Linked DNA regions of Arabidopsis thaliana. The protein of the gene in region 2 interacts with the protein of the main gene of each other region in a pairwise test. Each region holds a gene or a part of one and is shown on either strand. Other genes may lie near its edges. The genes, in order: HIPP20 and CSD1.

Region 1 (8,397 bases), about 24 Mb from region 2:
TAGCCAAGTAAAAAGCAAATTAACTTCACTAATCTTATACGATATCGAATTTAATGTTAATGTTTTTCATTAAGGAGATAATGTTCAACATTAGTTAGTCGGCTTAAGTTGGTCAAGAAAGTTAATGAGTCTATTTTTTTGCATGTAATACAGGTGTAAATCACTAAATGATGGTTATTTGAATTTTCTATCTAAATATTTTGGCCATTTATAACCTCATGACAGAAATGGAAGATGATCTGTTTTCACGAACGACTATAGACTGGAAATTTAATTTAATAACATACCAAATATAACTTCAAGAAAACAGAGAAAACAAGAGGAAAATATATAATAGAGGAAAGAAATTAGAAAACAAGGAAACAAAAATTAGAATATAAGGAAAATGAGAAGAAGGAAAGAATTAAATACCCATTTCTTGAAGAACATGCCTATGTGAAGAGATTTGGGTTTGAGGAAGCCATTGACGAAGTGGTAGCCATGAAGTGTTGGTATATGAGGAAGCTTGTCAACGAACATCTCAAGCTTCCCAAGATTAAACAGTCGCTCCTCTTGCTTTATGCCTCCTTCGTCTCCGGTTACGAGCCATGCCATCGTTACGATTAGAAGCAACATGTCTCTGGTCATTCTCCTCCGAGAAGGCTCCATGTCTTTGTCCTTCACGAGCTGTCGAAATTATATGAGAAAAGTCAAGTGTGTGTGTGTGTTTGTATGTGTGGAATACTTAAAAGTTGAGGAGAGAAGTTGAAGAAGTTCTTTGGGGTTTTGCGTATTTATGCATACGAGTGTGTGGTGTCAAATAACTTTGTTGTTCTTTGCTTTCATTCTCTTGACTATTGAGTCGCTACTTTCCTAGAATTTATCTTCCAAAAAGGAATGGTTTTTTTTTTAATTAGTAAGCTTCTACATTATAAAACTAGAATTTGAATATTATATGTACATGACAAGAGTATTGATTTTTCTTAAAAAATGAATATATATATATACGTATATAATATATCCATTAATTATATGGTTTATATCTATCAAAAATTAACTGAAAATTAAACAGGGTTCATACTTCATAATTCTTTTTGTGAATAACAAGGTTAATAGTTCTGTCTTCTCAAATGGATCTTTTACGAAAAAATCAACATTCTTCTAATGGAACTAATACAAGAAAGAAACCATGGAAACTTTTGGGCCTAGTTCGTCCACTATATTTCGTCCCGTTATTAAGATATTTTCTCTAACTTACGCGTTACAAAAAAAATTAGAATGAGTTTTTCCAATCTCTCAAAAATTGTCTTAACCATGTTATCGTTTTAGCTCCTTCAGCCTCCCGTAACATGCATTATCGCAGACCTATAATGGTTAAAGCTAAGGTTATCATCCAAGCTTGTGGGAGGTCTCACAAACATTCCTTCACTAAACAGATCTTTATTCGCATGTCCAAACACCAAATTTCAACCATTGAAATTTGTAGTTATGTTTGCCTTAAAGGTCGAACCATTTCTCTGCGAGTTAGCCGAAATCTAGCAAACCTAATGTTCTCTAAAACTAATTCTTTTTGTTTTTTCTGTTTTTTTTTATAAACTTTTTCTTCATTAATATTGAAAGTAGCGAAAAAGTAACCCATCAGTCTATAAAAGACTGACAATATAAAATATACCTAGCCAGGCCCAAAATGAACCCAGCATCAACAAATAATTTTTCAAAAGGGAGAATCAAAAACAGCCCAAAAACCTAACATATTCTTTATTTGTTACAAGTTGGAACTATAGTTCCTTTTAAACTTCTCTTGATGCTACTCCAAAGATTATCATCTAGCATGAGTTCTAACGTAAAAAACACGCAAATAGTGGTTATACATATATATATATATATACTCTATGCTTTTCATTTGAATACACATCATATATTATACAACTACAATATATATTCATGCTTTTAAAAAATAATTCAGACAAATCCAAGAAACCTAAAAATTAAATTTAACAAGAAAATACACCAAATTAACTTTTTGAAGAGTGTGAGGAAAAAAATCAAATTAAACCAAAATTAATCAATTTGACTCTGAATCAACAAAATTTAAAACAAAATCAACCATTATATATACAAAGTTCCTATTATATACAGATTTTGTGATCAATCCAGTTCTACAAATTTCAGGTTTGGTTCGTTTTTGGTTTCACAGATAATTGCTAGTACTATTGACTTTTGAGCCTGTCTATGTTTTGGTGTTCCTAGTCAAAATGACTGGAAGCCGTCGATGTCTGGGGTACTGTACACGTGGAGGTTATCCAAAAGCCCATCTCCCACCTAGCTAAAAATGCGGTTGTCGCCATCAAACGACGATTTTACCTTAAGTCCCACCTTGATATGTTCAAACGCGCGTTTGCGTTTTCCCTTCGTGTGCCGCTTCTCATCTCTCCATTTGTTTGCGTCCTTTTCACAGTTTCAAATCTAACATATCCATTTTTGTGTTTCAACTTTCGAGTTATGCGAAGTCATAATTTAATAATCAGTCATATCAGTTTCGTCCCAAACAGTTGATTTGAAATATCCAGCGAGATACTTAAATGTCATCTCATCATAAGCACCATAATATTATGAAATTTCAAATTCTAATATTCTTGGGATTTTATTTAAAGATCACTCATTCTAAGGATTAAACAGGTGTTTGTTTTACGTGAGGCATTAATTTGTTTTGAGTTGTACAAGAATAAAATCTCCCAGTATATTATATACAAATTCACAGCAAGGTTTGAACTACAAAAATATATTAAGATTAGACTATAATGTATTAAGGTTGGATATGTGCACGGTGCCACAGTTTTATTCGAAGAATAATATATTACATTTCTGATCATCCATGCATGTAACAAACATACTCAAAATAGTTATAAAGAAAACAAGAAGCAGACCAAATTGTGCAATAAATTAACCGTTTCGTAAGAAACACAATTTCTAATTTCACTTACAAATTGACTTGTCTCCTTGCGAGTGGTCGGAAATATTTTGCTATGGTTACGTTCCAAGTTAATTACGGTTACTACTAATTTTCTTGATTAGTTACGCGTCATTTTCTAAACCTAAAGTCATTTACTAAGAAAGTTATGACTACAAATACCTTTCTTTTTTTATGGCTGCATCATCAGCCGCATATCTACTTCGATTGAGGAACAAACTATATTTAATGGCTCCGAAGAAAATCTAGTTAAACGCTGTTGGATCTTCTATGTGTCAAAAACTACGTAATGGAAGATAAAATATAGAGATAAAAAGTTGATATTTTATTATCTGATGATGTATGGATTTCACTTGGCACAGCCGCATAGATTACCACAAAACCACTTCACAACACTTTTTTCGCTGACTAATTTGCCTTCACAAAACCAACAAAACTCCAACAGCACGTAGCTTTTTGTTTATTTTCTCTTAATTAATTTTTAACCAACCTGAGCACTTAACCGATTTTCCTTTTTTCGTATTTATTTTTAAATAACTTCAATTAATTCCACTAATATAATAATTTGCATAATCGTAAATAAAAACATAAATCACCCGAAAATACTTTGATATTAAACACATTGATTATACACATTCCACTAACTTATTTTGAAATATTGAAATTTTTACACAACTAGCTATAGTTGGTTCTTCCTCTCTGCATTAACATAACAAAAAGAGAGAGAGAGAGAGAGCCAATTGCTTGATAAAAACGTTACATGCTGTGGATAATACTACTAGAGTAAATTATTTATTACATAACGGTGCAAGCGTTGGGATTCTCGTCGCTAAAAAGAGAAATGTAGTGGTTCTCGGGAGCTCCCGGCAACAGCTGCAACTGCGACTGCTCAGATTTCCTGACATAACCGGCCGGAGCTTTTTTGTCGTAAGTTCCGACCGCGTATGGATATGCGACCATGTTGTAAGGAACGTACGGCCATATCTCCGCTTTTTTCCCTGTCCTTTCGATTCTCTTTAATACCTTCTTTGGTTCCACGTATCCACTCACCGTCACTTTATGTATCTTTCTATTCACCTCCACCGATTTCACACCTGCGCGATTTTTATATTGATATAAAGACCGTGTTAATTTGGCTTGTTGTATGTAGAAATGGTTTGGCGTGCTTACATGAGTACTCGTTTAATGGAAATCAAAATTACAAAAAAACTTACAGAAACCATTCATGACATAAGTAGTCTACGAGTTGGAGATTCGAACCTTTCATGGAGGAAACCGCGTTCTTGACTCTGCGTTCACAACCATCGCAGTCCATTTTCACCTTTATATTCACCGTCTGCATGACTTTCCGCTTCCTCCTTTTTCTGGTGACGCGGAAGTAGTCGGAGATATACTCGGAAAGAGAATCAAGAGCTCCCATGTCTATTACTCTCACCAAGAAAGATCAGAGATGCATATATTATGGACTGGACTTGACCATATTTATAGCAAGTACATGGTGACTTAATGGACAAGTGTTATGCCGAGGATTAAGTACAATTAAATGTGTTTAATATTCGTAAAGTGTAATTAGAGAGATGTATATGTGGCCCTCTAATGATGTTTTCCTCCAAATACACACGTTGGACAACGAGGCCAATGTTTTTGGGCTAAAGCACACGACTCCCGCCGATTTCTTTGTTACAAAATTCTAATATCCGTTTTATATTAAAAAGCTAACTATAATAATAATAATAAACAGAAGAGTTTGTAGTTATAATTTCTTTTTTTCTAACAATGTCCGATCGGTCGTTTATAATAAAACAATGTCACGGGATTAGAGGTTTATCATCCACATCACCTGAGTCACCTCAAAATTCACATGCGTCAAAGTTAATTCATTGAGAATGGCAATTATGGTTGTGTAGATTCTTCTTTTACCATCTAATCTTTTTCTTTTACAATTTTGTTTATGATCATTTTCGTCGTATACATATATATGATGTCGGTATGTATATATAAGTTTATGAAAAAATTGTAATCGTGTATTGAAAACGACATGACCCTTCTAATTAATTTAACACTTTTGTTACTTTGGATAGGTACACGATCGGATGAATGATAATAGGGTTTATAGATAAACTACACAATCACACATTCAATTATTTCAATTTAGGTCAGAAACAGTAAAAGGGAATAGTTATAAGAGAAAAATAGAAAGGAATGTAGCAATTTAAAGGGCAATGATTCGATGAGAAAAAATAAGGTGTGGGGGTCCGATCTTATACGAAGTAGACAACTCAATCAAACTATTTAGGTAGTCTATAGTTTGAAATAAGAATTGTTATAAAGCCCCTCCACATCTTTTTATTATGTACATTTAGACATTTTTGTTTTTTGCTTTATACTTTCCACCCTATAAACTTCGTTGGCATTTTCTTCTCTTACACCCCAATTATCATATTCTTCTTAGACCTCTTTTTTTTTTTCCTTTTACAAAATTATATTTTTTCTATTTTTCTCTTCTAAGCTACTCAACACAATTGATCGAATTTCAATTTTGAGTTAAAGTACCCCACGAGTAATTCTTGAAAAAAATTCAGCAATATACTAAAGAGGGGTGTTACCGATATGAAGTTAATTCCATAAGAGGGTTTCATTGAAATAGCCAGTGACAACATAAAATCTCGAGATTACCAAATCGACAGCTATTATATAGCATGCCATAGCATTTAGCATAGCCTCACTTTCAAAATTAAAGGTTACTAAATCAAGGAAACATAAGCTTTGATCAATGGATTATGCATGTCCACATCCTTCATTTACAAAAAAGAACACAACAACTGTTTTTAACTATCTACTATTTGTGAAAAGAAAAAATCATCATAGCCCATTCAATTACTTTGACCCATTCTTGTTTGTTTAATAACATTGACTTGTCCATTTCTCATAACGAAATAACAGTGTTTTCTATATGGTGACTACATCATACACTTTTGCTCGGATAGAAAACTGTCTCTAAATGCTCAGAGCTCTGAAATTTTGGATAGATCATAGATCATAACTATTCAATAGTCCAAAAATATCAAACAAAATGTAGTAATAGAGATAAACAAGAAGAGAAAACAGAGCCATGAAACCCACTTCAGCCAACAAGTTGGGTTTTCCTCAGCCTATCCATCTTTACAACCAAATCCGTGACTTTATCTTTCCGGCCTTCATCGAGAAGTGTTTGTTTAAGACGGCTAAACATATGTCCCGGTGGCCTAATACCCACATCCAACATCTCATTGAAATACTCACAAGCCTCGTCTAATTTGTTCTCATGGCACAGAGCTGTGATCAAACTTGAGAACATGTGCATTCCTGGAAGAACACCTTTCCCTTTCATCTCGTCCCAAATCTTGATCGCCATATCCAATCTCTCTTTGTTACAAAACATCCTCACCATGATCTCGTAAGTACTCACCGTCGGTTCACAACTCATCGTCTGATAAACTTCATACGCTTCTTTCGAGCGCTGCATTCTAATCAAATGATGAAGAATTATATCATAAGTTCTAGCATTTGGCCCAACCCCTTTTAATCTCATCTCATCAACGGTTTTGTATGCGTCTTCCATTCGCTGTGACCAGCAATAAGCACCTACTAGCGCATTGTAAGTAGGTGCTTCAAGAGGAAACCCGGAACTCTTTGATCTCTCAAAGAACTCAAGAGCATCATTCAACTTCTTCTCAGAGCCAAGTCCATTAATCAAACTACAGAAAATGTGAGGACTTGGCTTACAATTCCTCTGTTCCATCTCATTGAAGAATCTAATAGCTTCTTCATACTTCTTCGCCTTGCAATGCGCATTGATAATAATACCGTAAGCGACAACATCCGGTTCAAAACCTTCGTCTTTCATCTCTCTGTTAACCTCATCAACTCTCAAAAGATTCAACTCCTGACCCCAACCTTCAAGTAGAATAGTATAAGACTTAATATCAGGCTCAAACCTTTTCTTTTTCATTTTATCGAACACCTTCTGTGCATCCCCAACATTTCTAGATTTGCTCAAAGTATCAAGCATACGATTAAAATCACTTGATTCCATCTTAAACCCAAACTCTTCCATCTTATGAAACGCACCTATAGCTTCTTTAACTTTCCTAGCTCTAGCGTAACGTCTAGAGATAAGAGCAAATGTCTCTTTGCTCAAAAGCTTTTTTGCTTTCATGTCGTCTACTAAACTCCAAATGAGTTTGAATTGTTTGATCTTACCTAATGATTCGATCAATGCGTTGTAGTTTGAAGTAGTGTGCTTGAAACCCTTTTGATTCTCTGCCCATTTGAATACAGACAAAGCTAAAACACCAGCGTTGCTTAGCTTCTTCAGTACTTCTTCGATTAAGGCTGGTGAAAGTTTAACAGAAGCTTCGTTCAGCAAAGTTTCAACCTTTGAATCCGTGAATTTGGTGAGAATCTTGCAGATTCTCTCTGCGTCTTGTGAAGCATCATTAGCAGAAACTTGGGTTTCAACAGAAGAAGCGTGAAATGATCCGTAAAGTGTAAAGTTTGAAGCTTTATGAATCCATGGAATCGATTCGAGACTCGGTGACGAAGACGAAGAGATTCGAGAGTACACACGTCGAGAGAGATTCACTCCGGTGACTCTGAAGAATCGAGAGAAGACCATTGGAGGAGAAAGTTTAGATCTTTAACTTTCAATTAACTAAGATACAACAGAGGAACAAAGGTTTATCAAATTTGCGAACAAAAGTTCTCTAATGGCTTTAACAAAGGAATTACAAAATCTGGGAAAGAGAATAAAAATATCTCCTTTCTCTTCTCTTTCTCCTTCTCCTCGTATAAATACAGCAGCCACTGTGTTGTTGCCCAAAGAATTTAACCTTACAGAGACTGAAAACAATGTAGTCTCGTGTGTCGTATAATCACTTGCATTGATTCGATTGTGAATTCAAATCATCAAGAAAATTCGTTATTGTTTCGTCTAGCTTCTTAGCTTGAGGTCCAGCTTTGACAATGTTTACTTCATCCCACTCCGAGCAAGGATCTGTCCACCAGCTACTGTGGCTCGAGCACCAAGCGCCAGGAGTGACTCTGTAACGTCCACGTTTCAGGATCTCTCTATCGACCATGTCGAGTACTGGATCATCTTTCTTGAATTGTCTAGCGAAAGCTGCTCCGCTTTGAGCCATTTGGTCGAAATCCGATATAGTAAGGAAATGTGGTTCCATTTTTGGTGGACTGTCCCATATCATGTATCGTAAGTCCCCGTTGACTGTCGTGTTACTGAACTCCGGTGCGTTGCATATCACCGTGTGGAAGTAGCATTCTTCAGAGAGAATGACATTGTTAAAATACATGAGAAGGATTCTTGGTAAATTATCCCAACCGAAGATGCAGTATTCTAGGAAAGGTCTGCTTAGTACAATCCAAGGCGAGCCTGCAGTGATATCACAAAC
Region 2 (8,397 bases):
GCCCTTGCTGTTTGCATCTACCTTTGTACTTGTTGGTGACCACTATCAACTACCGCCACTGGTGCAGGTAAGCATTTACACCTTTTTTGACATACCTCTGTTTTTTTCCTGTAGTTTCAGCATCATTGTTGTGTTGATGAAAGCAGAGTACAGAGGCTAGAGAGAATGGGATGGGAATAAGCTTGTTTCGCAGGTTATCAGAAGCCCATCCTCAGGCAATTTCAGTGTTACAAAACCAGGTTGCCGTATCTACTAAGATGAAACTATGTTAGTACGTGTTGTTAATAGGTATGCCTTTCTGCTTTGTTGAGACATCTTCTATGTGCAGTACCGAATGTGTCGAGGTATTATGGAACTATCAAATGCCTTGATATATGGAGACAGATTATGCTGCGGTTCTGCTGAAGTAGCTGATGCCACACTTGTGCTTTCTACCTCCAGTTCTACTTCGCCATGGCTTAAAAAGGTCAGTGTGTTGTTCTTAAACATTTATAAGTAGAGGCATCTTTAAGCAACTAAGAACATTTTATCACATCTGTGTAAACCTAGATCTGTGTATATAATATGTTCCTTCTGCTTAAAACTCTGGATACCTGGGCATTTGATTATGCAACTAGCCTTGGCCTGGACAGCCTATGAAAATCTTAACACCACTTTCAGATATTGATGCAATGCTTTATTTAATTAGACAAAGGGACAAAGCATTTCAGCTTGGCTCCAGTCGCTTGCTTTACAATATTTGTTATGTTGCACATTGACTCGGTGTAGGCGTTGTCCACTAATAATCTAATTAGCATCTTAACTTATATTTGTTTCCATCAGGTTCTGGAGCCAACAAGAACAGTTGTATTTGTTAATACAGGTTTTTGGCTACTTACTAGTTGCTTTTTTTTTCACATGAGCGCTTTGCCATATGGGCTGGAGTTTTCACGAGACTATATGATATGTTTTTGTAGATATGCTGCGTGCTTTTGAAGCTAGGGATCAGAATGCGATCAACAATCCAGTTGAAGCTTCCATAATAGCTGAGGTACTGTTAAGTATGCAAGATGCATTTAAACTTATGAAAAAGTGGGCTAACTGCTTTACTTAGATTGTAGAGGAGCTAGTTAACAATGGAGTGGATAGTAAAGATATTGGAATCATTACTCCTTATAACTCACAAGCCAGCCTCATTCAACATGCCATTCCGACAACTCCTGTGGAGATACATACTATTGACAAATATCAGGTTTGCCTCTAGGACCTACCGTTCTTCTTTTCATGACTATCTTGATTTGGCAAGTGCTCGATAACCAACGTTTGATGAGCTCACATTTTGTAGGGAAGAGATAAAGACTGCATATTGGTATCTTTTGTGAGATCGCGAGAGAAACCAAGGAGCTCTGCTTCTTCACTGCTCGGAGATTGGCATAGGATCAACGTTGCTTTGACACGAGCAAAGGTGAGACTGAGAGAACAACTGATGTGGTGTTGAGTAATGTTGTTTATTCCATCGATCATTGATTGAAATTTGTTTGGGTTTGACAGAAAAAGCTGATAATGGTGGGATCACAAAGAACACTCTCAAGAGTTCCACTTCTGATGCTTCTTCTAAACAAGGTTAAGGAGCAGTCAGGTATCTTGAATCTGTTGCCGGGAGATTTAAAACCATAACAACTCATCAAGAAACGTTTCAAATATCACAATTTTAACTTGTATCTCCATTTTTGTCCAAAAGGAATGATAATGTATAATCGATTTACTTTCCGAGTCTGAATTTGTTGATAAGAAAGAAATCAGGAGAGCATGAATCACTTGCATAATGACATGTAACAGAAAAGCGGAGATATTGTAATGATGGAGAAGTTTCATTTGAAGGTTAGCTCAGTTAACGTTATGACAGTAGATTTTGAACGAACAAAGAAGTTTGTGTTTGTAAAAACATTCGCATATTGAAGTACCATATCCAGGACTCTTGTTACCTTTAAGAACTTATAACAGTAAATCAACTCTTTTTTATTCATGAAATAATAAAAGTACGGAATTTTCTCTGTTTTCTGTCTGAATTAAAAATGCTTTGAGCCACACTAAGCTCATAGGTTTTTAGCCACACACCAGAAGATACACACAACTACCAAACCCAGGTCTAAGGTTGGACCTCCTTATTACATCAATCTCTTCTTTGGAAACGTAGCAGCTTTAGCCCTGGAGACCAATGATGCCTGCGAAGTCATAGACAAAAGGTCAATCAGTTTGATAATTTTACCATTCAGTTGGACCCCCAAAATGCAAGATAATAATAGTCAATAGATAAACCAAGATGAACCCCGAGTTACCAGAGAATCAATGGAGTCTAAGGTGACAATGATGGTAATGATCAAGATTAAATAGAATATACATGGTTTTCACAGGAGATGTGAGAAAAATGTAATTTTGTTTTACTTACCGCAAGCAACACGGCCGCCTGCGTTTCCAGTAGCCAGGCTGAGTTCATGGCCTCCTGAAATGTAAAACACCAATGACACTAGGTTATAAACTGTTCTTAGGATGGATGTTGAATCATAAGCATTCTACATTGGATGCCCTCAAACGGACTGGCTAACTTTTAAATTCTGTTAGCATAATATGGGTAAATAAAATCTCAAGAAAATAAATGGTCAAAGGTCATTACCCTTTCCGAGGTCATCAGGGTCTGCATGGACAACAACAGCCCTACCAACAATAGAGTTTGGTCCAGTAAGAGGAATCTGTTAAGCCAACACAAAATGTATCTTAAGAGATTGGTTCACTACAGCAGGTTTGGATTAGGAAAAAAGCATAAAAAGGTACACAGCTATAAACCTGGCAATCAGTGATTGTGAAGGTGGCAGTTCCTGAGAAAAGCAAAACAAAAGCTTTTATGTAAATCCATGAACACTACCGCTGGTCAAAGGTGACAACTGTACTATACAACTAAGACTGCAAAATCAAATTTGAGAGAGTAGCGAAATTTGATGCAAAACAGCTCTAAATAAGCTTGAGATGAGGGATACAAATGTTGAGAAGGCATACCATCATCTCCAACAGTGATGTTTCCTAGATCACCAGCATGTCGATTAGCATCCTCAGGGGCACCGTGTGTTTTACCATCGGGGTTGAAATGTGGACCTAAAATAGGAATTTAATAACAAGTTCAGTTACTTTTGGCGATAATTAAAGTTCCCAATACGAAACATAAATATAAGCTCCAAAAGTTTCTAATCCATTGAAAATTTGCAGAGAGGTATGCATAAGAGTTACCAGTAGACATGCAACCGTTAGTGGTGTCACCAAGAGCATGGACATGGAAACCATGAAGACCAGGCTTAAGGCCAGAAACTGTTCCACTCACAGTGGTCACACCTGCAAAAAACCCAAACAAAGAACTCAATCATTTGAGAGGAAGGAAAAAAAAGATAGGCTTCAAAGATCTTATAAAGCACTCTTATAAAGAACTACCATCGCCTTCCTGGGTGAAAAAGATAGTCCCCGTAACACCCTCACTGCTGTTCAAAACTGCAACTCCTTTCGCCATTGTTACTTGGCCTTTGTGATCTGTAAAAACATAAACATAAACCAATACATATACAAATAAGTAAAGATCCAGAAAAAAACAAATGGTTCTACACAACATTAAATTAGCTCAACAGACAAGAAACAGAATTTGAAAACCCAAAAACATCAATCTCAACTAAGCTTTAATACGCACCAAAACATAGATCCTAATCCCATTATAAGAACACATATACCAGATATTCAACGATCTAAGCCATAATAACTCTTACTAGTTCACATAAAAAGGTCAAGGCATCTTCAGAAGAGTGTGATACATCCAAAGAAAACAAGCAAAGGAATCGGTAGATCCGCCGATCATAAATCGAAAAAAACATTTCCTCAAAGATCTATACGTAGATTCGGCGGAGTTGGAATCGGAAAAGTTCGAAATCAGCACAGACGAGGACAAGAATCGATTTAAGAATCCAAAGTGAAGAATCGATCTAAGATTTGAAACAAATTAAAACCAAAAAGGAAAGCAAACATACCTCAGGAAACCCCTTTGGAAAGAATCAAGTGCTTGAGCTATCAAAAATGCTGAATTTTCTCTCTGAATGTTTTTGCTTCGTCTCTCTTTGGTTACTTGTTTTCTATATAGCCCACGAGGTCCAAAAGCTGGGTAGGTACGTACGTGATTAGCATTAATTTATTTCTTACTTGAAAAAAGCCACGTCAGGATAATCCAAGATAGACTTTTCCTAAGTTTGACTCTTCTCTGCTGATGTGGTAAAATTTGATTGGATAAATACTGTAAAACATTAAGTTTAAGTCATCGTCATTGAATTTAAATTACGTATGTCGTATAATTATTTCTAAGACGTTGGCTCAATTATAAATTTCATAAAATCTTAAGAACTAATTTTAACAAAATACAGAAAATATCATTTGTATTTTTAATAATATAATCTATAAACATATATATATATATTTATGAGAGTCTGTCAAATTTGTATGTAGCTAATTTCTTTGGAGAAGAAGAAGGGAACCTTTGATGGATTTGTAATGTTAGACTATATATGCCTATCTAGATGCATGCATCTCCTAATTAACCTAGCTAGCTACAAGAGGTTAAAGATAATGGATGATCACCTATAAGTCTAGAACGTTGATATATAAACTCTGTTATGCGTATTATATCAAAATTTTGGCATATTATTCTCTTTGCAGGTGACATGATATTTGTATGTTGTTTATACACTAGAAAAAAATATTGTGATTTTGTTCCACTTCCAACCATCAGAGGCACTATTTATGCGTTCCCAAATTGTTATCTCCATAACAAATACCTGATTGTTTTACGACTATAACAGCCAATGTATATAAAAGACTTAAAAACTAAAATAGGCTGCATGGTCAGTGATTGCGCTTAAGAAGTTTTTAGTCATATTTTTTGTTTTGTCGTTCCGTATAAATTTTGGCTTTAAGAAAAAGACAGTGACTTTTCACCCAAAAAAAAAAAAAATACTTCTTAATGTTTTGAGATATTAGTAATTGCCAATCAGTGAGTGTAGTTATTTTCATTATGTTCATTTTAGCTTGTTAAAGAAATTAATATAGGATATTAAGCCGAAAGTGGATGATGCTCTTGAATTGAAGTTAAAAACAGTCTGCTTATCAAATCTTAAAAATCATGCATAACGTGGGTGCTATCACTGAGTTTAAATCTGATACAGACTGATTCAACCATTTGGAAGCTAATGGAGGAGCGGCCGGCTATAAGCTCTCCCCAACACAACACACACAAAGATTGCAACATGATATATAAGTTATAGGCAGCCAATGAAGCCAATGGATAAATCATAGAAACACCTGAAACGTAAGAGGTAGCTGGACAGAGATTACAAACCGATCCAGACTGAGAGATTCAATATGGAAATATAGGAGATTTGTGAATGTTAGAATAAGATTATGTTTTCTATGCATCGACATATTACAAAGTAGAAAGATATTTTGGGCCAAATTACCAAATCTCTATGAGAGTATAATTAGGATTACGTATTCAAATCTCGCCTTTGTGGAAAGCGAGAGAGATGAATGGGAAAAGCAAAAGATAGGAAAGAAATTAAAAGGGAAGCAAAAGAAGTTGGTGATCCGAATCAGAATCACGCGTGTAATCCTCTCAAAGCATTCATATTACACTCATTGAAAAAAGAAAAAAAGGTACATATTCACAATCACATATATATATTATTTCTGGCATCTAACGTCGAATGTAATCTCACTTAATTTTTTGTTTTTTACGATAATTGTTACAAAAGTATCGAAAAATAGTCGTCAGAAATTATAGTTTACTAAATTGCTGTTAGGTACAACAGATATTCACCATCTCTGAATCTCAGTACCATACTTTTTCTTAAAAAAAAATTCAATTTTAATGTGTTTGAACACATTAATACATTTCCATACTTGGCCTTCACTAAGATTAGTTTTTGCACTTCTCTCTTTCTCTCGATCGCTGCTTCTTCGTCGCTCAATCTCAAGCTCCGTTCCGTTAGTTCTTCGTCGGAGAGACGGTAAGGTTTCCTTCCGATTTCATCATTCTCGTTGATCATCTTCTTCTCTGGTTTTTGTTTTTGTTTCGAAACTAGGTTCCTCTTCCTCGAGTTTCCTGATTTTTGTCTTTAGAATCTGCTTTAGAAATCGAAATCGCTAGGGCTCGGGAAGATCTATGTGATCTGAGTTTACTATTGGCTACCGGATCCCGAGGAGTCGCTCCTCGTAAACGTCGTCGTTTTATTTCGCCCTTTTGTTTTAATACTATCAGGCCTGTGGTGGCGTAACTAGATCACACTGGGGGACTAGGACGATTTGGTTTTCCGGCTAGTCGAAAGCGCGTTGCCCAAAAAATTGTGTCGGTCGGATCGCTGAGAAAAAACGAGCGCATTAAGGTAAAATATAGTCACGTTTGAGTCTTCGGGCGAGTTCGTATCGTCAGATTTGAGAACGCGTCGTCGACGAGTTAGTGCGGTGGTTTGTTTATGGTGACGGAAGACGAGAATCCGGACTCGAAAGAGTGTAACAGAGAAACTTTTCTGATTGTTGACTGTTTGGTTAGATTTCGTCATGTTCCCAATGGGAGAGCGGGTTTATGATTGTCCCAAATAGAGTATAGATCTGAGTTTGTTTTTCGCTCTAGTGTCGACAGTTTCATACTTGAATGGTTCTGGGCTGATCTTTCTCTTATTATTTTTTTGTTGAAATAGGGGTGGAGAGAATCCTGCTGCAAGTGGTAGCTGTTTGATACTTGAGTCATTTTGTCACAGCAACATGAATATGCCGCTGTTGGATATTCAACCACGAACGTTGCAGTTTGCAGGTAAGATATAAGGGGACTGATTCTTATCAATTGTAAAATGATCATTTTTAAGTTCCAGTGAGTAGACACTGTGGTCCCGTTAATAGTTTCTTATTTTTTTGTAAAATGTGGATTTCATAGCGAGGGTGTGTTATTCCTTAAGCAAAGTGGCCAACATGTTCCAGTTATGAATACCGAGTTTTCTGAATTCTCACTATTTCGTTAGAATTCTATCATAGTGGTGCTATTGTTTGTGGGTCTATTCTCCTGTAAGATGAATTGATGTGATGTTAATGTGGCTGTTGTTTGGAGGAATCTTCTAACTCTTTCCTGCTACTGGATTTGTATGTGCTGACATTCTGTGATGTGGTTTCTTACCTCTCATATCGATTCTGAGGATCTATAATAAAATATGGAAGTTGTAAAAGGAATATCTTTGCCTTGGCATTGTTATCCTTGTAATACTAACTGGTTTCATCTTTTGTAGTTGACCTGAAGAAGCAAACTTCCTGCGTGGTACAGCTAACCAATACTACCCATCATTATGTTGCATTTAAGGTCTAAAGAAGATTCTTCTCAAACTTTTTCTCTTTCTTTCTGGCTTCAGGATTTCGAATATCTTATAAAATTTCTGAGAAAAAGTATTCTTTCTGTATACAAACCTAAACTAGATGTGGTTTTTGACAGGTTAAAACCACATCACCAAAGAAGTACTGTGTTCGTCCAAATGTTGGTGTTGTTGCACCTAAATCAACCTGTGAATTCACTGGTATGCCTACTTTTTATATTCTTCCCAGCAATGCTTGAATTTCTTGCACCGACGTTCTTAGGCCGATGTGATAAACTGTTGCATGATGTCTACATGGGGCGGGAAATGAACTGGAATATATGTATAGATCTGTCCTTTGTCCCTTGGACTTAAACAGCGTTTGGACATTGTTTTAAGATCCTAGGCTTTTAGAGTTTAGTGTAGTTGTTCAAGAGAGAAGGTATCTGCTCCGGATGGAATTATTAAAGTTCAAGTTATTACTCATTACGTGGAACCTGCATTTTTGGGTTTGTTTGAGCATTCAAAATTTTAAACTGGTTGATGATGAATGGGTTCTTGAAATTCAAATTCAGTCAATGCTTTGGGTTATTGAGTTGTATATGTTATTTATGCAGTCATTATGCAAGCTTTTAAAGAACCACCTCCAGATATGGTTTGCAAAGACAAATTCTTAATCCAGAGTACTGCTGTATCTGCGGAAACAACTGATGAAGACATCACAGCTAGCATGGTAAGCATTCCAACACTTGTTGACCTTCTTTATCATTAATTTCAGTTATTTGGTCTGTCAAGTATATATGTACACTCATTTATTCTTGGCAGTTTTCGAAAGCCGAAGGCAAACACATAGAGGAGAACAAACTCAGGGTCACGCTCGTACCGCCCTCTGACTCACCTGAACTATCTCCAATCAATACACCGAAGCAGGGAGCAGTATTTGAAGATTCCATCCTCAAGGATCGTTTATATAGCCAGTCAGAGACCCTAGCTCCGCCAC

Evidence for each region.
Region 1: the proteins of CSD1 (region 2) and HIPP20 interact in a two-hybrid assay, tested with the Arabidopsis thaliana proteins (one large-scale study listed by BioGRID).

What each region holds. Positions count from the first base shown.
Region 1 is NC_003070.9:26,799,577-26,807,973, forward strand, and holds HIPP20 (Heavy metal transport/detoxification superfamily protein), read right to left. Parts: upstream 4,717-8,397; 5' UTR 4,371-4,716; coding exon 4,211-4,370; intron 4,045-4,210; coding exon 3,746-4,044; 3' UTR 3,521-3,745; downstream 1-3,520. Other genes in the region: LPR2 (Cupredoxin superfamily protein), read right to left, coding at 412-648; AT1G71060 (Tetratricopeptide repeat (TPR)-like superfamily protein), read right to left, coding at 6,075-7,607; AT1G71070 (Core-2/I-branching beta-1,6-N-acetylglucosaminyltransferase family protein), read right to left, coding at 7,864-8,378. UniProt on the Arabidopsis thaliana protein: Heavy-metal-binding protein. Binds cadmium. May be involved in cadmium transport and play a role in cadmium detoxification.
Region 2 is NC_003070.9:2,822,838-2,831,234, reverse strand, and holds CSD1 (copper/zinc superoxide dismutase 1), read right to left. Parts: upstream 4,176-8,397; 5' UTR 4,044-4,175; intron 3,556-4,043; 5' UTR 3,536-3,555; coding exon 3,460-3,535; intron 3,364-3,459; coding exon 3,262-3,363; intron 3,130-3,261; coding exon 3,034-3,129; intron 2,856-3,033; coding exon 2,824-2,855; intron 2,730-2,823; coding exon 2,654-2,729; intron 2,483-2,653; coding exon 2,429-2,482; intron 2,205-2,428; coding exon 2,182-2,204; 3' UTR 1,920-2,181; downstream 1-1,919. Other genes in the region: emb2411 (DNA replication helicase), read left to right, coding at 1-67, 147-239, 329-466, 823-862, 957-1,030, 1,094-1,231, 1,325-1,444, 1,531-1,656; VAP27-2 (vamp/synaptobrevin-associated protein 27-2), read left to right, coding at 6,823-6,871, 7,338-7,408, 7,538-7,619, 8,015-8,130, 8,223-8,397. UniProt on the Arabidopsis thaliana protein: Destroys radicals which are normally produced within the cells and which are toxic to biological systems.